Drosophila melanogaster: one gene and its partner. The protein of the gene in region 1 binds, or shares a complex with, the protein of each later gene. Each region holds a gene or a part of one and is shown in the gene's direction. Other genes may lie near its edges.

Region 1 (7,755 bases):
CCTTGGGGAATCGCTTGTCACTCGCTTTTACCGCCGAAGGAGGTGCTGCTGGAGCAATAGGAGGCTTGCTGCTGGTGGTTGTTGCCGTTGCTGTAGCTGCAATCACGCTGGAGTTGTCTGTAAGCAGAGATAAGGAAAACAAGGTACGCGTGAGTCGTGGTCAAAAGTCGTATACACATAATGAACTAATTAAACTGGGTTATCAGCTAGGTGTGCGATTTGTGTGCCCTTCAAGTGTTTCGGTTTAGCAAAGTGGGGGATTCTTACGATTGGTGTTGCCGTTGTCGCTGTCGCCAGTTGTTGCTGTCGTGGCGGATGTTGCTGCAGACGATTGGACGGGTTTGGATCTTTTCTGGCCGCGGCCAAAGATCAATGTCAAGAGGAATGCGAGAAAAGCAGCCAGAGTGCCTAATATCGTGATCAACATCGGCTAAATCCAAAAAGCTGCTTTAAATCGGTGAATGCAAATCGGATTAGATAATCTGCTATCTGGTGGCCAGCTAGCTGGGTTAGTTTACAGTGTGTAGATAGTGAAAGTGCCTGTGCATCATCTTGTTTCGGATACTTTTCAAGTTCAAAAACCTTGCCACGATATTGTAGGCCAAAGCGGCGAAACAAAACAAAATGAAAATGCTAATCAATGCATTAACTAGTTTGCGAGATACAATTAAGAAACCGAAAAAACAACCATATGAGACCCAAAAATAAATCGTTGCCAGGTCAATGAGGCAGCTGATAAGAGATGTGGTCAACGAATAAGGTATACTCTACGGGAAATTCAAACTAATCTACAGATCAAGCGGGTGACTTCAAAAGTATGCAATAAGTATTTCAAAGTACGTTGTAAAGGCGCAAGTGAATATTATGTTTAGCAACTACGTAATTAGTGACAGGTGTCGAATTACGATTTAATCAACACTATTACACCTGCATATATCACTTGAAAAGTTTCAATCTAAGTACATATCAAAGTTTTCAATATACTATACGAAAATACAGGAGCTCAAGCTGTTTCCGGGTCAAAGATGGCTTCACTACTAAATAATCTACTTTAGATACCCTTTGGCAGGGCGATAAAACTTAAAAACACGAAAATTAATTTCGGATATGAGGTTCAATGTGCAGCGCATTTAAAATTAAAACAAAACGGCGAAGAGCGCGAAGGGAAAATTGAAGAAACTTAAGCTGACAGAAACAAAACCCCCCCAGTTGGTTGGTTGGTGTGAGGAAATGCAAATCGGTGTGGTATGGCCAGCAGAAGAGGTCAATGATTTTGGCATTACAGTATACATGTGTGCACGTGTGTAAGTGTGCCAGCCAGGCGGCGGGCATTGAAAGACACGGAAAGTCGGATTGGACACCGGAATCGATCTCTGGCAACCAGCGGGGTGTTATGTAACCGCTTACTCGGAAATCGCGCAGAGAACTGGGACTTGGGTTACACTCTGCGCTGGAAACGACTCAACAGGTGTGGCCCGGTCCCGTACTCAAGTAGCTCCGTTAGTGCGCACCCTCGCAATGGATGGAGTCTTTTAATTGTGCTTTATTTACCACCGATCCTGTGATAAGAACTCTGCTGGCATTACTCAACAGTCGAAAACAAAAGAATCTTACTCGACGTGCGATTATCTCTAGGGCAGCACTTTTCGGGACCTTGGCTGGATATGATACGGTTGTGTTTTGGGTTTAGTTCGTCTTAGGATTTAGATCTACGGTTTCAGCTCGCTTTACCACTCTGCGTGTGCCCTTGTTTAGCTTGTGATGGCAGTTTCGAAGACGAGGTCGGACCGGATCGGATCGGATTGTAGTAGACCGTGTAGGATCGGTTTGAACTTCCTAGACTGACTGGTTCCGCACGATTTCTAGATGGCTACTGCAGTGACCGACGATTGGAACTCAACTGGGCCATGCTCGTCCGAAAAGCACTATCGATGCCTGAACGCCGCTTCTCCGAACGCGCAGCGGACGCCGACTTCGGCGTCGCCACTATCAATATCAACTATAGCTATAGCTTTGACTACGTCTACGGCCAGGTTTTCGTGCGCGGACCTGTGTTTGTGCGTGTTCAGGTTGTTGCGCTCGTATGTTAATCGCCAGCGGGTCTCGCGGGTCGCCAAGCCAATTGTTGTTGTTGTTGTTGTGTTATTGTTTTGCTTATTGCTGGCTCAGCCAGCGCCAAGTGACCAGGAGGAATATATGTGCACTATGTACTACATAAGAACTACATATGTACAAGGAGCGCCACTAATTCGAACAGAAAGGCGGTCGAATTAAGCGGGGCAACCTGCCGGATTAATAACAATTTTTATGAAGGTGGCTCAAGTAATGACGACCAGTGTGCTCCGTCGGTTTCAGTGATCTTTTTGTGAACCAATTATGCCATAACAATGTCCGAATAAATAAATGCTGGGTACAGTGGCACCAGAGAAATATTTAACAAAATCATTTCTTTATTGTCGTCAGTGATGAATAAGGTTTCTGTATATACCGATTCAACAAGTTCTGGAATAACTACAATGACATTTTGTTTTATATTGGATTTTTTGCGTAGTTTCCAAACTAAAAACTCATAAAAACTAACCATAAAAGCATGCCCTTCCAGCGGCAATCGCAATCAGCTTAACATCAGTGAGTTCCACTATAGGAAAGTTCCACTGTTGCACAGCAATTATACCTTAACGGTCTGCGGCTGATAAAAGATAAGAGCGACATGATGATGGCGATCAGCTGTTGCCAACAACCGTCTACCCCTCTCTGTCACTAGCAGTGCGTCCCGCTCTTTTCTCTTCCATGTATCTCTGTCTCATGGGCGGCGGTAGCTTTTCAATGTCAAGGTCGCCGATGGCATTCGGTACTGCTGTTGTTGTTGTTGCTGCTCCAGCTGGACTTAATCTGGGAGTTGACCCAACCGCTGACGGAAATGCACTCTGCTGCTGGGAGCAGCAAGCAGCAACAACAACGACCATAATTTCTCAATTTGCTGGCGTAAGTGGCAAGCGATGCTGATTAGGGTTAAATGGGCGAAAACGCCAGAAATTGATTAGCGCGATGCACTTGAATCGAATTATTATTAACGAATTCAGTGCGCTGCCACGAGCAGAACACGCGAACGCCGCTGATTTGTTTTCATTCCGTGATGCTCGCTGCTCCCGGCATCAGCAGAGGTTTTTTAAAAGTCATAAAAGAAATTCCCGACGCGACGCCCGCTTTAATCTCAGATAGGCGGCGAGTGCCTGAAAAATCTTCCGATTTCGGCATTGGCCTTGGCGACCGATTATGATTAATACTTAACGGTGACGGGTCTTCATGGTTTCGGCTCGGGCTCAATTCCAAATCTTTCCCGGCATCTTATCGCACGGAAATTTTTGTATTTCGGTGTTCGATTCTGTTCGAATTATTCATGTTTGGCGCGTGGCCAGAAAAAAACCGTCTACTGATATCACAGCCAAATAATAATAGAACCGAAAGTCGGTCGCGTGTGAAACGCCTGATTTCGATGTGCTTATCTCTAGGATTTCTACAGAGCAACAAACAACCGATTTGTGCGTGATAACACACTTGAAATCTTGTAGACACTGTAAAGTGCACGGTTTACAGTTAAATTGTTTTTTAATTTCTTAGCAAAATACTACGAATTTGTAGTGACTGCGTTGGATTGAATTTCCGATTCGAGTCCTTGTGATATGCTCATATTTCATAAATATACTTATATCGTATTTATGCAATACAATACCAACAAGAAATGCAGTCTCCAATTTAGTTCTTATTAGGTAATTGATGCCGGCCGACATACACACACGTTGGCAGCTATGCTGCTCTCTCGCCCATACACACACACACACATACGTCACGGGCATCGCGCGATGTGTAAAATCCAATAGGAATCAAGGTCAGCAGCGAGTGCGCGAGCGAGAGAGGGCGAGCAAGGCAAGACATATTGAGCATATTGCAGATGGAAGCAATTGGAATTTATGCTGCCCATTGCACTTTGATTGAAATCCGCACTTTAGCCAGCGAATTCAAATGCTAAACAAACGCGGGTCCCGATCTACATACGACTATGCTGTGGGGTTGTTCACCCCACTCATTTGCATACACATATGCGCATACATTTCGCTCGGATCGTATCGTATAGGATCGGGCCGTAATTACCCGTTTAGTGCTTAGATTACCGCACTTACTCTTCTCCATCGCACTGCGCTTCGCACGTTTCTTTCGGTTGGCAATTTTGTTGTGTGTAACTGTTCTTTTCCGGGTGCAAAACGGCCTCTTGGCGGCTATTGGAGTCCTGACTCTCCGACTAGTGTGGTTCTCGCGAATCCCGGATGGGCGTGTGGCACGGCTGATACGTTATCAGCTTGTGATCGACTAGAGTACTGTGTTTTGTTATTTTTCGCTCGATTTTTTATTCGTATTTCACGCGTAATTCGGACCACTAACTCGGTGTGACCGTTCGCCTGGGCGTACTGAAAAAATACTGAGCAAGGTAAACAACAGCTGTTCGGCGGCTGTTTGCAAGCCAACCCTGTCTCTCCTTGTAGGGCTGCATTACCGGCGCAGATTTTTCGGCGCGTGCATTTTATAAACAACATTTCGGTAAATAAGTTGAGTTTTTATCATGTTCGACGTGGAACCCATTATTGCCGACCACAAGGATGTGATACACGACGTGGTCTTCGACTACTACGGCCGCAGGATGGCAACCTGTTCCAGCGATCAGACCGTCAAGGTGAGGACTCGAATTATTCCTACGATAAACAGCCTAGGTGATCCGGATTTTCTGCTTGCAGATTTGGGACGAGGATGGGCAGGGCAAGTGGAATGTCACGAGCAGCTGGAAAGCGCACTCCGGCTCCATTTGGCGCGTTTCCTGGGCGCACCCGGAATTTGGCCAGGTTGTGGCCACATGCTCATTTGATCGCACCGCCTCCGTTTGGGAGGAGGTGATTGGCGAAAAGGTATCCTCCACCAATACCCCCACTCGCCGCTGGGTGCGCCGCACCACCCTTGTAGACTCGCGGACCAGTGTCACGGATGTGGAGTTTGCACCCAAGTACCTGGGACTCCTGCTGGCCACCGCCTCCGCCGACGGCATTATTCGCATCTATGAGGCCCCGGACATTATGAACCTCTCGCAGTGGCCCGTGCAGCACGAGATTAGCAACAAATTGCCGCTGAGCTGTTTGTCCTGGAACACTTCCACTTACATGGTCACCCAGCTGCTGGCGGTGAGTATATTTAAATTCCAAGTCTTAGTCTATTAAGGATTAATTCTATTATCTGTGGAGTAAGAATAAGCCTAATTTTCATAAATTATTTTGCAGGCGGGCAGCGACGAGGCAGCCACGCCTACTGGCAAGGTCTTCTTATTCGCCTACAGCGAGAATTCCCGAAAGTGCGTTAAAATCGATACTGTCAATGATATAACCGATCCGGTCACGGATGTGGCCTTTGCTCCAAATGCCGGACGCACCTTTCACATGCTGGCAGTGGCCAGCAAGGATCTTTATATTGTGAACTTGCGGGGTGTAACGTAAGATCGACAATTTAAAGACCCAAAATCATTTAATAATAATAATTTTTATAATTAAAGGGACGCCACGGACATCTCCAAGTTGGACATCCAGACCATTAAGTTTAGCGAGCACAATTGCCCAGTGTGGCGCGTCTGTTGGAATATGCTGGCCACGATGCTGATCTCCACGGGCGACGACGGTTGTGTGCGTCTGTGGCGAATGAACTACAACCGGCAGTGGCGCTGTGCCGCCGTCTTGAAGGCAGAGGGCAGCGGACCCACCTACGAGCCTGCTCCGCCCACTCCGACACTGGCCACTACCGCCTCGGCCACGGCCAAGTTCTACAAAAAGGGCACCATCGGCAACCAGGTGCCGTGGCACTGATCTTGTTCTTAATTGTAAGAGTTCCGAATAAATTCCTAAGTTAAACCTCAGCCGCTTGCCTTTCAATATGAGTGGTTTTCTTTAGTTATGTTTAGAGTTCACGGTATTAATGTTAATGTTATTAATGAAGTGAACTATCAATGGGTTTACGCATTATTCAATCGTTTTAAAGATTCCGTGGAACGATAATTTTCTAGAAAAATATTTTTGATTAAACTTTATCTTGGTGCCACCATGAACCAAACTTATATCACTGTGCGGAATAGTCCACGTAGTGTTCGTCGCGCACCAGAAGACACAACGAATCTTAGTAGTCCCGAATCATGAATCAATAAATCTACTCGGTTATTGTCGGATTGTACGTTTTGCTATAAAGTTGGAATCGCATCATTTGCGTAATTCGTGGATACTTCCCATACGAAATGGGTCTAAACGAATATTCGGAAGGCCTGTGTGTTTTGATACCACCACTTACATCTCGGATTAGAAGCCGGCATTCTTGCGAATCCAATGAATAGCTTTCTGGTCCACATTTCCCCAGTTCAGTGTTCCTCAGATCGCTTTTCCTAGGGCATTTTCGCGTTACATCACAAAACGTGGAGCTCTCAATGCTCCAAAGTGCCAGAAACTAATAAAAAAACAATGGGATGTTACTTCAACTTCTGCCTGCCGGCTGGCAAACTAGAGCAACTATTGATTTTGGACAACTTCCCGAAAGGCGAAGAATCAAAACAGAATTAAAGTTCACACAACGAGAAAGAGCGAGCACTAGAGATAGTGACTATAATGGCAAGCACTCTCCATACGGTCACATGTGTGTGTTTGAGGGAGAGCGGCAGATCTGATGTGCTAGCTATTTTAAAAAACCCCATGGCACAGGCCAAATCCGAGATAGATCCATCCCATTCGAGTGGGTCGGGACCAGCAGAGGTGAGGAGGAAAAGGCATTTTCGGGTTCAGTGGTTGCATTCAAATCGATTTTATTGAGATTTATTTATGGGCTATGTATTCTCGATTAACTCCTCACACGGGAGTACATAAATGGATCATAAATCCCTTTCAAGTGCACTTCCATTTACATTCCATCCACATGTGCATAAATTAACTAGGACGCCGACAAGTGCCCAAAAACAGGGTTTTTATTATGTTTAACACGGAAAAGCATTCAGAAATGTCGCGAAATATTCCACTTAATTGACTCGAACCGCAATAAAAACGAAATCATCGCACTTTCGATGACACCACAAAACTATAATAATAATAATGATATGCAACCACCCCTCCGCGGGCTTCGTCCTTGCGATCCTGTTGCTCTGCTGGTAATCCAAAGAATGAAATCCGTCCGACCAGCTCGATGGCTTTTGTAGTCACCGATGAAACCACCCCGGTTCGGTATCACAAGTTCCCTGTCCCAGATCCGAATGATTGTCTCTAATTGGAAGTTTTGACGTGTGTATTACGTCGAAGGCGATGGTGTTGACGCCGATCTCTGGGCCAGGACGAACCACCCCTGTCTGGGGCATATTGTAATCGCTGGTGGGTGGTGGTTGCGCTGCTCGCCGCGTGGGAAGTCAAAGCTCAGGGGTCTCTCACATGGTCGCGAACGTGGTAGGTCGCCCGAATCACTTATATGTGTTTAACCGGCAAAAAGAAATTAATGCGCAAAAGATTGTTTCTCGTTTTTTATTGCCAGGGGTGGTGTTTCGCAATGTTCCCACACTCCATGGACAGCAATTTCGGTTGCTGGGTTTCAATGTAATTGTAATTTTGGTTTCAAGTGATTTTTGTGGGCCAAGAGAACAAATTACAAGTAGCTAAAGTGTGTTGAATTAAATTAAACTATGAGCTCGGGATT
Region 2 (8,697 bases), on another chromosome or scaffold:
GAAGTGAATTACAAAAGGCAATGACCCGAATTAATTAAGGAAATTATTGAAAAGGATTATAGGGAGTTTTTTAAGTAATGATAGTATGCTCGTACAATATTGAATTCCTTTGGTAAATCTCCTCTTTGGATTCTATGAATAATATCCTAATCAAATATAAATCGAACCTTTCAAGATCTTTCTAAAACTTTTCAAACACCTTTCCTTAGTTTTTTCTGTTAGACATACAAATCAATCTAATCGTTTCCTTGTTGCTATTCAACAGAAGCAAATATCTGCTGGATCCGAAGTTTATGACCAAGAGGGACCTACAGCAGTACTATCGCTACTACAACATGAACAAGAACCGTGGACAATTCAAGAAGGTTGTGATTGTGATCTTCGCCCTCTGCGTGTTTTCCTACCTATGTGTGGACTACAATCTGAGGACGAAACTACTTCGTTTCCGTGATGGATTCGATTTTATGGCCCGCATCGAGGACCACTATGGTGGAAATGTGACAACGGCCTATTTCGTTGACACGACGGGCTGCCGGATGCCACACTTTGAGGTCAGCGACGACACCATTGCCCAGTTCATTTTCAAGCCACGTCCGTACAGCTGCAACAGAGCTCTGATCCGGACGAGCGACACAATTCCCGGACAGCTGCATCTCAATCTGGAGGCCAGTGAGCTGCTCGCATACTACAACATCAGTGACCTGTCCTCCGTTAATTGCAACTATACGGAGGTGAAGCGCAAAACCGATTCTAGTAACACCCACAGTCCGGCAGTGAGTTTTAAGCTGGACAAAGTTATGAAACTGCCTCTCAGCTCGGAGTTCATTTGCATGTGGTGCTATGATTCACTGGACAAACTCTTCTACAAGGACTGTCATTTTTTTGCAGTCGATAAGCCAAGGATTAGGCCCCCACTTAAGACTGGAACCGATAGGGTGAGCTTCAACAAGAGCAAGGAGGAGCAGGAACGGCTATCCGTAATGATACTCGGCATGGATAGCCTGTCGCATCTAAATTTCCTGCGCCAGATGCGCCGCACAGCGAACTACGTCCGTAAGCATCTGTCCCACGTGGAATTTTGGGGCTACAACAAGGTGGGCGACAATACGTTTCCCAATCTCGTGCCCCTGCTAAGTGGCCTGGATGATCAGGAACTGAATCTGGCCTGCACGCCAAAGACATTGCGATCCTATGATAGGTGCTCATTCATTTGGAAACGCTACCAGCAACTGGGTTATCGCTCCATTTTCGCCGAGGATGTGGCAATGCTCTCGGCATTCAATTACAATCAAAATGGGTTCCGAAAGCAGCCAACGGATTATTATCTGCGACCCATGATTATGGAAATGGAAAAGACTGTGGCCTTCAAGAAGGACCTCAACATGCACTTGTGCATGGGCAGCCGGAGGACGGCGGATGTGCTGCTCGAGTATATGAAGAAATTGGTGCCACGAATGAGCAGGGATCTTTACTTTTCATTTTTTTGGACGGTGGCCCTAACCCATGACTATTTTAATTTCCCCTCACTACTGGATGAGGCCATGTTGCAACAGTTGATGCAGCTGCAAGATTCCGGATTGCTCAATCGCACGGTGGTAATGTTGCTATCCGATCACGGACTGAGATGGGGTTCCTTTCGTCGTACCTACCAGGGCATGATGGAGGAGCGCCAGCCCCTAATGATGCTTTTGTATCCGCCATGGATGACCGAGCGTTATCCGGAGGCAATTGCCAATCTTAGGTTAAATGCCCGCCGGCTAACCACACCATTTGATGTGCACGCGACAATGTTGCAGCTGCTAAATCTTCACAATCTGGAGGCAGATCAGTTGCAACGCAGATCAACAGAGATGGACGAGCCGGATAGCACGCTGCCCAGAGGCATTAGCCTATTCCTGCCCATCCCGGCTGCTCGGACCTGCGAGCAGGCAGGGATTGCCGCCCACTGGTGCACCTGCCATCAGCGCCAGGAGCTGCAGACAAACGATCCACGTGTCCAGCGGGCGGCGCGCTATCTGGTACGCTTGATCAATAACCGACTGAAGGATAGCTCACAGTGCAGAACCCTATACCTGAACTCCATACTCCAGGCTCTGATTGCAGCGCCGCACTCGAAGATTGTGAAGAACATTTCCACGGACTACGCAGTGGACATCACCCTGCGACTGCAGACGAAGCCCGGGCTGGGTGTGTTTGAGTCCACGGTGCGGATGACGGGCTATACGACCGTACTAACGGGCACCATTAGTCGTCTGAATCTGTACGGAAGCCAGAGCTACTGTCTCAACGATCCGGCGCTAAAAATGTTCTGCTATTGCCACAGATAAGGCAATGGCAATGTAACTGGGAGCTTTCGGGGATGGGGAGGATGTGTTTGACGTCAAAGACTTGAAACCCATTAACGTAGCCTTAGCCATAAAACCTAGTTTATTTCTATGAAATAGCCAATGTTTGTATAAAAATACTTATCCAATTTTAGCCTTTGCCGTAAGGAGTTCCCAGTCTTAGGCACCTATGTAGTCACGGTAGTTGAGCGGAATTTGTTTATTTCCCACTAACTTAGAGGACAATAAACTGAATGAACTAATAATCGTAATAACCGCAGAATTACTTTGTGTATGTAAAATAAATGATAAGCTATTACTGACTAGGGAGGGAAGTGGCGAACATATAAATAAATAATAGTATCCAAAATATGTAGCACTTAATGTTGTAGACCATAATTGAGTTGTTATATACATATATAATGCACTTTTTGTTTAGTATCTCATGATTTATAGCCTTATGCTGAGTTAATAAATGAATAATAGGATGAACTTTTTATAAATGAGTCAATTGGGAATATCCCTTTCTAGTTACAAATTTATTTAGATGCTAAATTATATTTAGCCACGTACTTTAATAATTTTCATAACATTTATGAACCAATGCACATGTATATTTTTGGTGATTGACAATTTATAAAATGTAATAAATCTATAAAAAAAATCGAACGTTTTTATTTAACAAGACCATATATATAAAATTATAAATTTTGCTCTGAGCTCGTTTACCTGTTTTATATCATAAATTCAAATCCCGATAGCTATAACCACAATTTTATCGATACTATCGAAAAAACAACATTTTCAGCTATAGTTGTGCTGTCGTTATTCCAGCTAGATTTATGGGTGTTACAAACTTTTGCGACAAAATATTAGGTACAATTTTTTCATATAATGTTCTAGTTTAATTTTGTAATTTTTTTAATATATTATCAAAAACTATAGCAACAGCATTATTGAAAAATAGCCAGCTTAACGAGGTCCTGGAAATTCATTTGTCGGAAAAAATGCTTAATTGCCAACACAGACGCCTGTTGTTATTGTCTATCGTTCTTATCAGTTCAGTTTCTTCGTTTAATTTTTGTTTGTTGCAAAAATGGTTTAAATTCGCAGTCTTTTGCTTTTTGAGCACTTATTAGAGTAGGACAATATGCCGCCCACGGAGACACTGCGTCCGGGAGAACGCGGAACAGCCGGTGGACCGGGAGCAGGAGCACCCGAACAAACGTACATCGTCAGGCAGAGCAACAAATACTATGAACACCGAGATTCCCAGGCCACGGCCATGTCGGTTGATTACTCGGGTCAGTGGGTGCTCCTCGCGGGCCGTGGTCACCTGGCTTTGCAGCGTTTGGGACAGGACGATGGGTCTCTGCGACGACATGAACGGCAATCGAAGTACGAGGTGTCCGTAGCAGAGTTTGCCATATGTCCCAGTCGCAAAGAGTACTGCGCCATAGCGGTAAATACATAAAGTTATCTACGTATAGGCGGCGTTTATCCCAGTTTGACCTTTGAATTTCAGACTAGCCAGCACATAGACATCGTTCGCTGGGGCACTGCGGAACCACACTACGAGATGTCCTTGCGTGGGCATACTCGAACAGTGACCGACATTGACTGGCACGGCAAGGATCCGAATCTGCTGGTCAGCTGCTCAATAGACACATTTTCTCATATTTGGGACTTAAGGGAGCCCAGGAAACCAGCCCTGTCCTTGAATGCCGTGTGCATGTGTAAGTTTCTACAAAATAATTTCAACTTTTTTATATTATATTTAAAATTCTTTCAGCTGGTGCTACACAAGTGGGATTCAACCGCGTTTCGGGCAACCTTTTGGCTGCTGCCCATGATGGAGATTTACGCATCTGGGATATTCGCAAGGGTAGTTGCCCGACGCACTATATCACAGCACATTTAAATAGAGTGCATGGCATCAATTGGAGCCACAAAAGGGAGACCTGCTTGGCAACCGCCAGTCAGGATGGAACGGTCAAGTACTTTGATGTATGTAATCCTCGCAGGGCCGAGAAGATCATTACAACCATGTCGCCCGTTTGGAGAGCGAGATACACGGTAATTTATATTGGTTTATCAATATTGATTGCTATTCTAAATACATCTTGTTCCATACAGCCTATTGGCAACGGTCTGGTTAGCATTGTGGTGCCCCATTTGGGACGCGGAGAGAATAGTTTGCTGCTCTGGAGCAACAGCAAGCAAACGGACCCTATTTGTTCCTTCGTGGGGCACACCGATGTCATTCTTGACTTTGCCTGGCGTCCAAATCGTGAAAGTTCCAATGAAATAGTAAGTATTTTAAAGATACCACAATGTTCTTACTTATGCATTGAGCTTTAATTAGGAACTGGTCACTTGGTCCAGGGATCGCACGCTGCGGGTGTGGAAGATCGATGATAATATGCTAAAGCTTTGCGAACCGTCTGCGGAAGAAATAGAATCCCGTTTCGAGCCCGATCTCAGTGAGTTAAGAGTGCCTACTCCTCCAGAATTCCTGCATCCACGATCAATTTTGGTTGCCGCTTCGTTGCCCATATCCACGGGTGACGGTGCTTGTAATACCTTGCCCATGGCTCGCTCCCCGAGCTTTGGAGGTGGCTACTATCGCAGGGAAGAGCCCCACATAGCCAGATCACTAACAGATCAACCCACGTGTTCGCTGCACCACGAATTCTCGCTGCTCAACACAAACATGCCTCATGTGGAGGTAGACACACTAGATGCCATAAAGCGGTACGCCTGCTTCAAGATTTGCGCCGGTGGACACACGGTTATTTTACAAGTGACTTTCACGACATCGTATCCAAGTCCTAGTGCTCCGCCGGACTTTCAGCTTTGCCAGGGAACCACTCTGTCCAGTGAAGTTAGTGGAGTTCTGCTAAAAGTGCTCCGTTGCAATGCATTGCAACGGGTCAAGAAATCCCGCACGTGCCTGGAACAATGCCTACGTGCTCTAGTGGCGGCTATGAAGAAAAAGGTGGCCGCTGTAGGCGGAGCGGATCGTAGCCAACTGCTCCTGCAATCCCCTCGGCTGGAAGGAGCTTTGTCGAGCACCCTGCACGATGCCTGCATTCCATATCCGCGGACGTCAGGGGTCCATTTCAATGCCATTGGTATGCTGACCACTTTCGCCCAACCAGTGAACAACAAAAGGCTGACCCTGCGGCAACACACCGCATTGACTCCACGGACTTTTTCATCGATTAATGGTAGTGGATTGCTAGGCAATGTGATGGCCACCGCCCAGAGGGAAGCTAACGCCTCCTTTTACCTCCAGGAGAGGATGATTTCGGGAAAACCGGGCAAGCAGCGAGCCATCCGACAGATGAATGGAAGTCCGGTGGTTCACGTATACGACACAAGTAGCTTACTCCACATTAGTCGGAGAATGGCTCGGGAGTTCTCCCTCGATAAGTGCAACATAGCAGAAACGTGTCGTAAAAATGGTGAGATCTGTCGCCAGCATGGGCGCTTGGACTTGGTGCCCGTGTGGCTATTGGCGGAACTGATAGCCACACCCCAAATTCCACATGAAACACTCAACGATCTGCTGTTCTACAAAGATCCCTTCAAGAAATCTCTGCTGGAATCACTAATAATGCATTATGCTATCTCCGGTGACATACAGACTGCTGTGCTGCTGGCTTGTTTGTTTGACAAGTGCCCCACGGGTGGCGGTGCCATTATGGAGAAGACAGTTCGACTTCCGCCGCAGCTTAACTCGCAAATTTCACCGTATCACACGGTCCTGCCGCTTGACGTCAAGTCATCTTCTTCATCGAACACTTGGCAGCAACTTAAGCAACTACGCAGCAACTCTTGGTCCGACTCCCTGGATTTGGAGATTAAGCAAATCCAGTCTGATGCATACGCTTGCTCATTGATTAGACGGACTAAGATGCCACTGTTTGATCAATTTAAGCGCGCCTATGCCGAAATTTTATTTGGCTGGCAGTTGCTTTCGAAGCGGGCTTTGATCCTCAAGCACACGCAGAATACACCACCTCCAGTCCAGGGTGTGGAATTCGTTACCGAGTGCAGGAAGTGTGCCAAGCCCAAACGGACGCCCAAATGCGAGCCCTGCAAGCGACCCGTACTCTTCTGCGTCCTCTGCCGTTTGCCTGTGAAAGGAGCAGCCAATGCGTGTCTGGCTTGTGGCCATGGCGGTCACATTGATCACATGATGCAGTGGTTTGAGGTTGGTATCTATTTGAGTTTGATTCGACTGGTTTCTTTTTCACGAACCAAACGATGTATGGATTTGGATTTATGGATTTATGGATATAAATATATTCATGTTTGCTATTTTCTTGTTTAACTTTCAGAAACACAATGTCTGTGCTACGTGTGGCTGCAAGTGCTTGGAGCGCACCTCAGAGCTGCTAGCCCTACTCAGCTGATTCAGACCTTGAGTGATGTGCATTCCTTTCAAAAATAATCTTACTTAACTTTCTTTCGTCTGTGTGGATATCAAAATAGTTAGGTGTTTTTTAGTCATTAGGCCAACAATTTTTGTACGATTTGCATACCATTGAGAAATATATGACCACTTACTAGCCAAGCTAAGGGTAAAAGCTTTATGCAACTATACACTTAACCAAAATCATATGGTTACGATAATTCAAAAAGAACTGTTTCTAGATTTTTTCAAGTACATACATTTATTCTTTTTTATTATCGACTTTTGCTTTCTGTTTTTTTTTTTTTTTTTTAGCTTAAATTCTACGATTTACTTGTAGTTTTTGCATTTGCAATCTAATAATTTTTTTGTTTTGTCCGTCATAATAAAGTTTGCTTTAGTTTTGAAAATAATTTTTAAATAAGTTTCTACAGCTCCTATTCTTGTTTTTGTGTGTTTTCTTTTGTTCATTAAGCGTCATAAAGATAAAAAGGAAAATAAAAGGAACGCAAAAATAAAATAATAAAAAAATATATTGCAATTTAGTAGGCGAATCATTATAAAGATAATACAATTTTGATATAGCGACATAAACATTAGATATACGGCCTTACTATAAACAAATCACGCACAAAACAAATAAACAATAAAATGAAAGGCATAGATTCAATTTCAACTTTTTAAGGGATGAACTTAGCTGAGAGCTTTTTAGCATACTAACTTCTTTTTGGACTTAACTACAAGCGTGTATTTATAAATGTGTTTGTGGTCATAGATTAACTATCTTGGATGGGGATCGGATGGGTAATCTATCAAAACCAGCCACTGGCCAGGTTATAGTTCTCTTGATATCATTTTAGCTGATCGCGGTACGTTATGATTGCCTTCATCAGCAGACGGACGTTGCTGAACTGCGAATTCTTGGGGCTGTTCTTAATGAACTGCTGACAATTGCGATACAGCTCGGTGAGCACTTTAGGAGCGTGCTCGCGGGTAATGGGATCTGCCATATTGATGGCCAACAGTGCCTCGTTGAGATATCTACAAATGAAAAAGGTACATCATCAATGTAATTCTTTGTAATGTTTTGTTACTTGTTTAGTTCTCCTAGCTCACCTCTGCTTAAGCTCATTGTGATTGGTCATGTCAGCGGATATTTGCTGAATGAGCGACAGTAGAACCTTTTGCTCCAGTCTGCATCCCTCTGGTGCGAATGCCTGGTTGCTGTCCGTGTGTCGGAGAGTGAACTCCACTAGGCCCAAGTCGTTGGCCAATAGAGCCTGATGGAAGGCCTTGTTGATTTGTCCAGCCATCAAAAGCTGCTTAATGCTGTCCCTGAGGTCGTAAGGTGGTGCAGGCGTAGCTGCCTGCGAACGCATTGCCACGTTCTGGGCTTCCATGTGCTTGCGTAGCTCTGCTCTGATCGTTTCCTGTACCTGACGCGCCAGCAAAATCTCTAAGCTCTTCACTTCTCTTTGTGTCTCGAGCATGGCGTCCGTGAGTTCAGTGCGGTGCTTGTGCAAGCTGCTCTCTACCAATTGCTTAAGCATGGACAACTTGTTGTTTATCTCCTCCGTATTGCCACTCCCGGCTTGGGGCTGTGGCATGTGCTGCAGGTAGGTGTTAAACTGGACCATAACTGGAATTCAAAAGAAGGAGCTTTATGTATCCATTATGATTGTAATGATTATATACTAACAGTCTTTTATGCCCACGCTGAAAGCGTCATGCAGTTGTTTAAACATGTTCTGCGAGGACTTCTCATAAGCTGGAATCAAGGTGCTGCTCATAGATTCAATGAAGGCGGTTTGTAGGCTGGTTTGAACACCAATCAACACGGACTTGCCAAAAGTATCCAGAAATTGCTAAGTAATGAAAAAAAAACGCTTAATTATAAGCATTTATAGATGGACTTGCAGATTACGTACCTTGCTCTTGCACACCTGGGCAATA

Evidence for each region. Proteins that work in one complex are often made in the same cells at the same time.
Region 2: Nup44A (region 1) and Wdr59 share a complex: the UniProt entries of both Drosophila melanogaster proteins name them as parts of the GATOR complex.

What each region holds. Positions count from the first base shown.
Region 1 is NT_033778.4:7,985,335-7,993,089, forward strand, and holds Nup44A (nucleoporin at 44A), read left to right. Parts: upstream 1-3,127; 5' UTR 3,128-3,175; intron 3,176-3,197; exon of another isoform or gene 3,198-3,293; intron 3,294-4,181; exon of another isoform or gene 4,182-4,380; intron 4,381-4,497; 5' UTR 4,498-4,618; coding exon 4,619-4,729; intron 4,730-4,790; coding exon 4,791-5,228; intron 5,229-5,324; coding exon 5,325-5,533; intron 5,534-5,593; coding exon 5,594-5,900; 3' UTR 5,901-5,949; downstream 5,950-7,755. Other genes in the region: ACC (Acetyl-CoA carboxylase), read right to left, coding at 1-117, 268-427. UniProt on the Drosophila melanogaster protein: Probable component of the nuclear pore complex (NPC). Involved in maintaining the localization of another nucleoporin Mgtor to the nuclear envelope of early meiotic female germline cells.
Region 2 is NT_033779.5:11,088,093-11,096,789, forward strand, and holds Wdr59 (WD repeat domain 59), read left to right. Parts: upstream 1-3,351; 5' UTR 3,352-3,474; coding exon 3,475-3,786; intron 3,787-3,849; coding exon 3,850-4,060; intron 4,061-4,116; coding exon 4,117-4,400; intron 4,401-4,460; coding exon 4,461-4,634; intron 4,635-4,689; coding exon 4,690-6,543; intron 6,544-6,670; coding exon 6,671-6,745; 3' UTR 6,746-7,004; downstream 7,005-8,697. Other genes in the region: CG16854 (uncharacterized protein), read left to right, coding at 266-2,327; Ge-1, read right to left, coding at 7,596-7,785, 7,861-8,383, 8,444-8,609, 8,673-8,697. UniProt on the Drosophila melanogaster protein: A component of the GATOR complex, which functions as a regulator of the amino acid-sensing branch of the mTORC1 signaling pathway.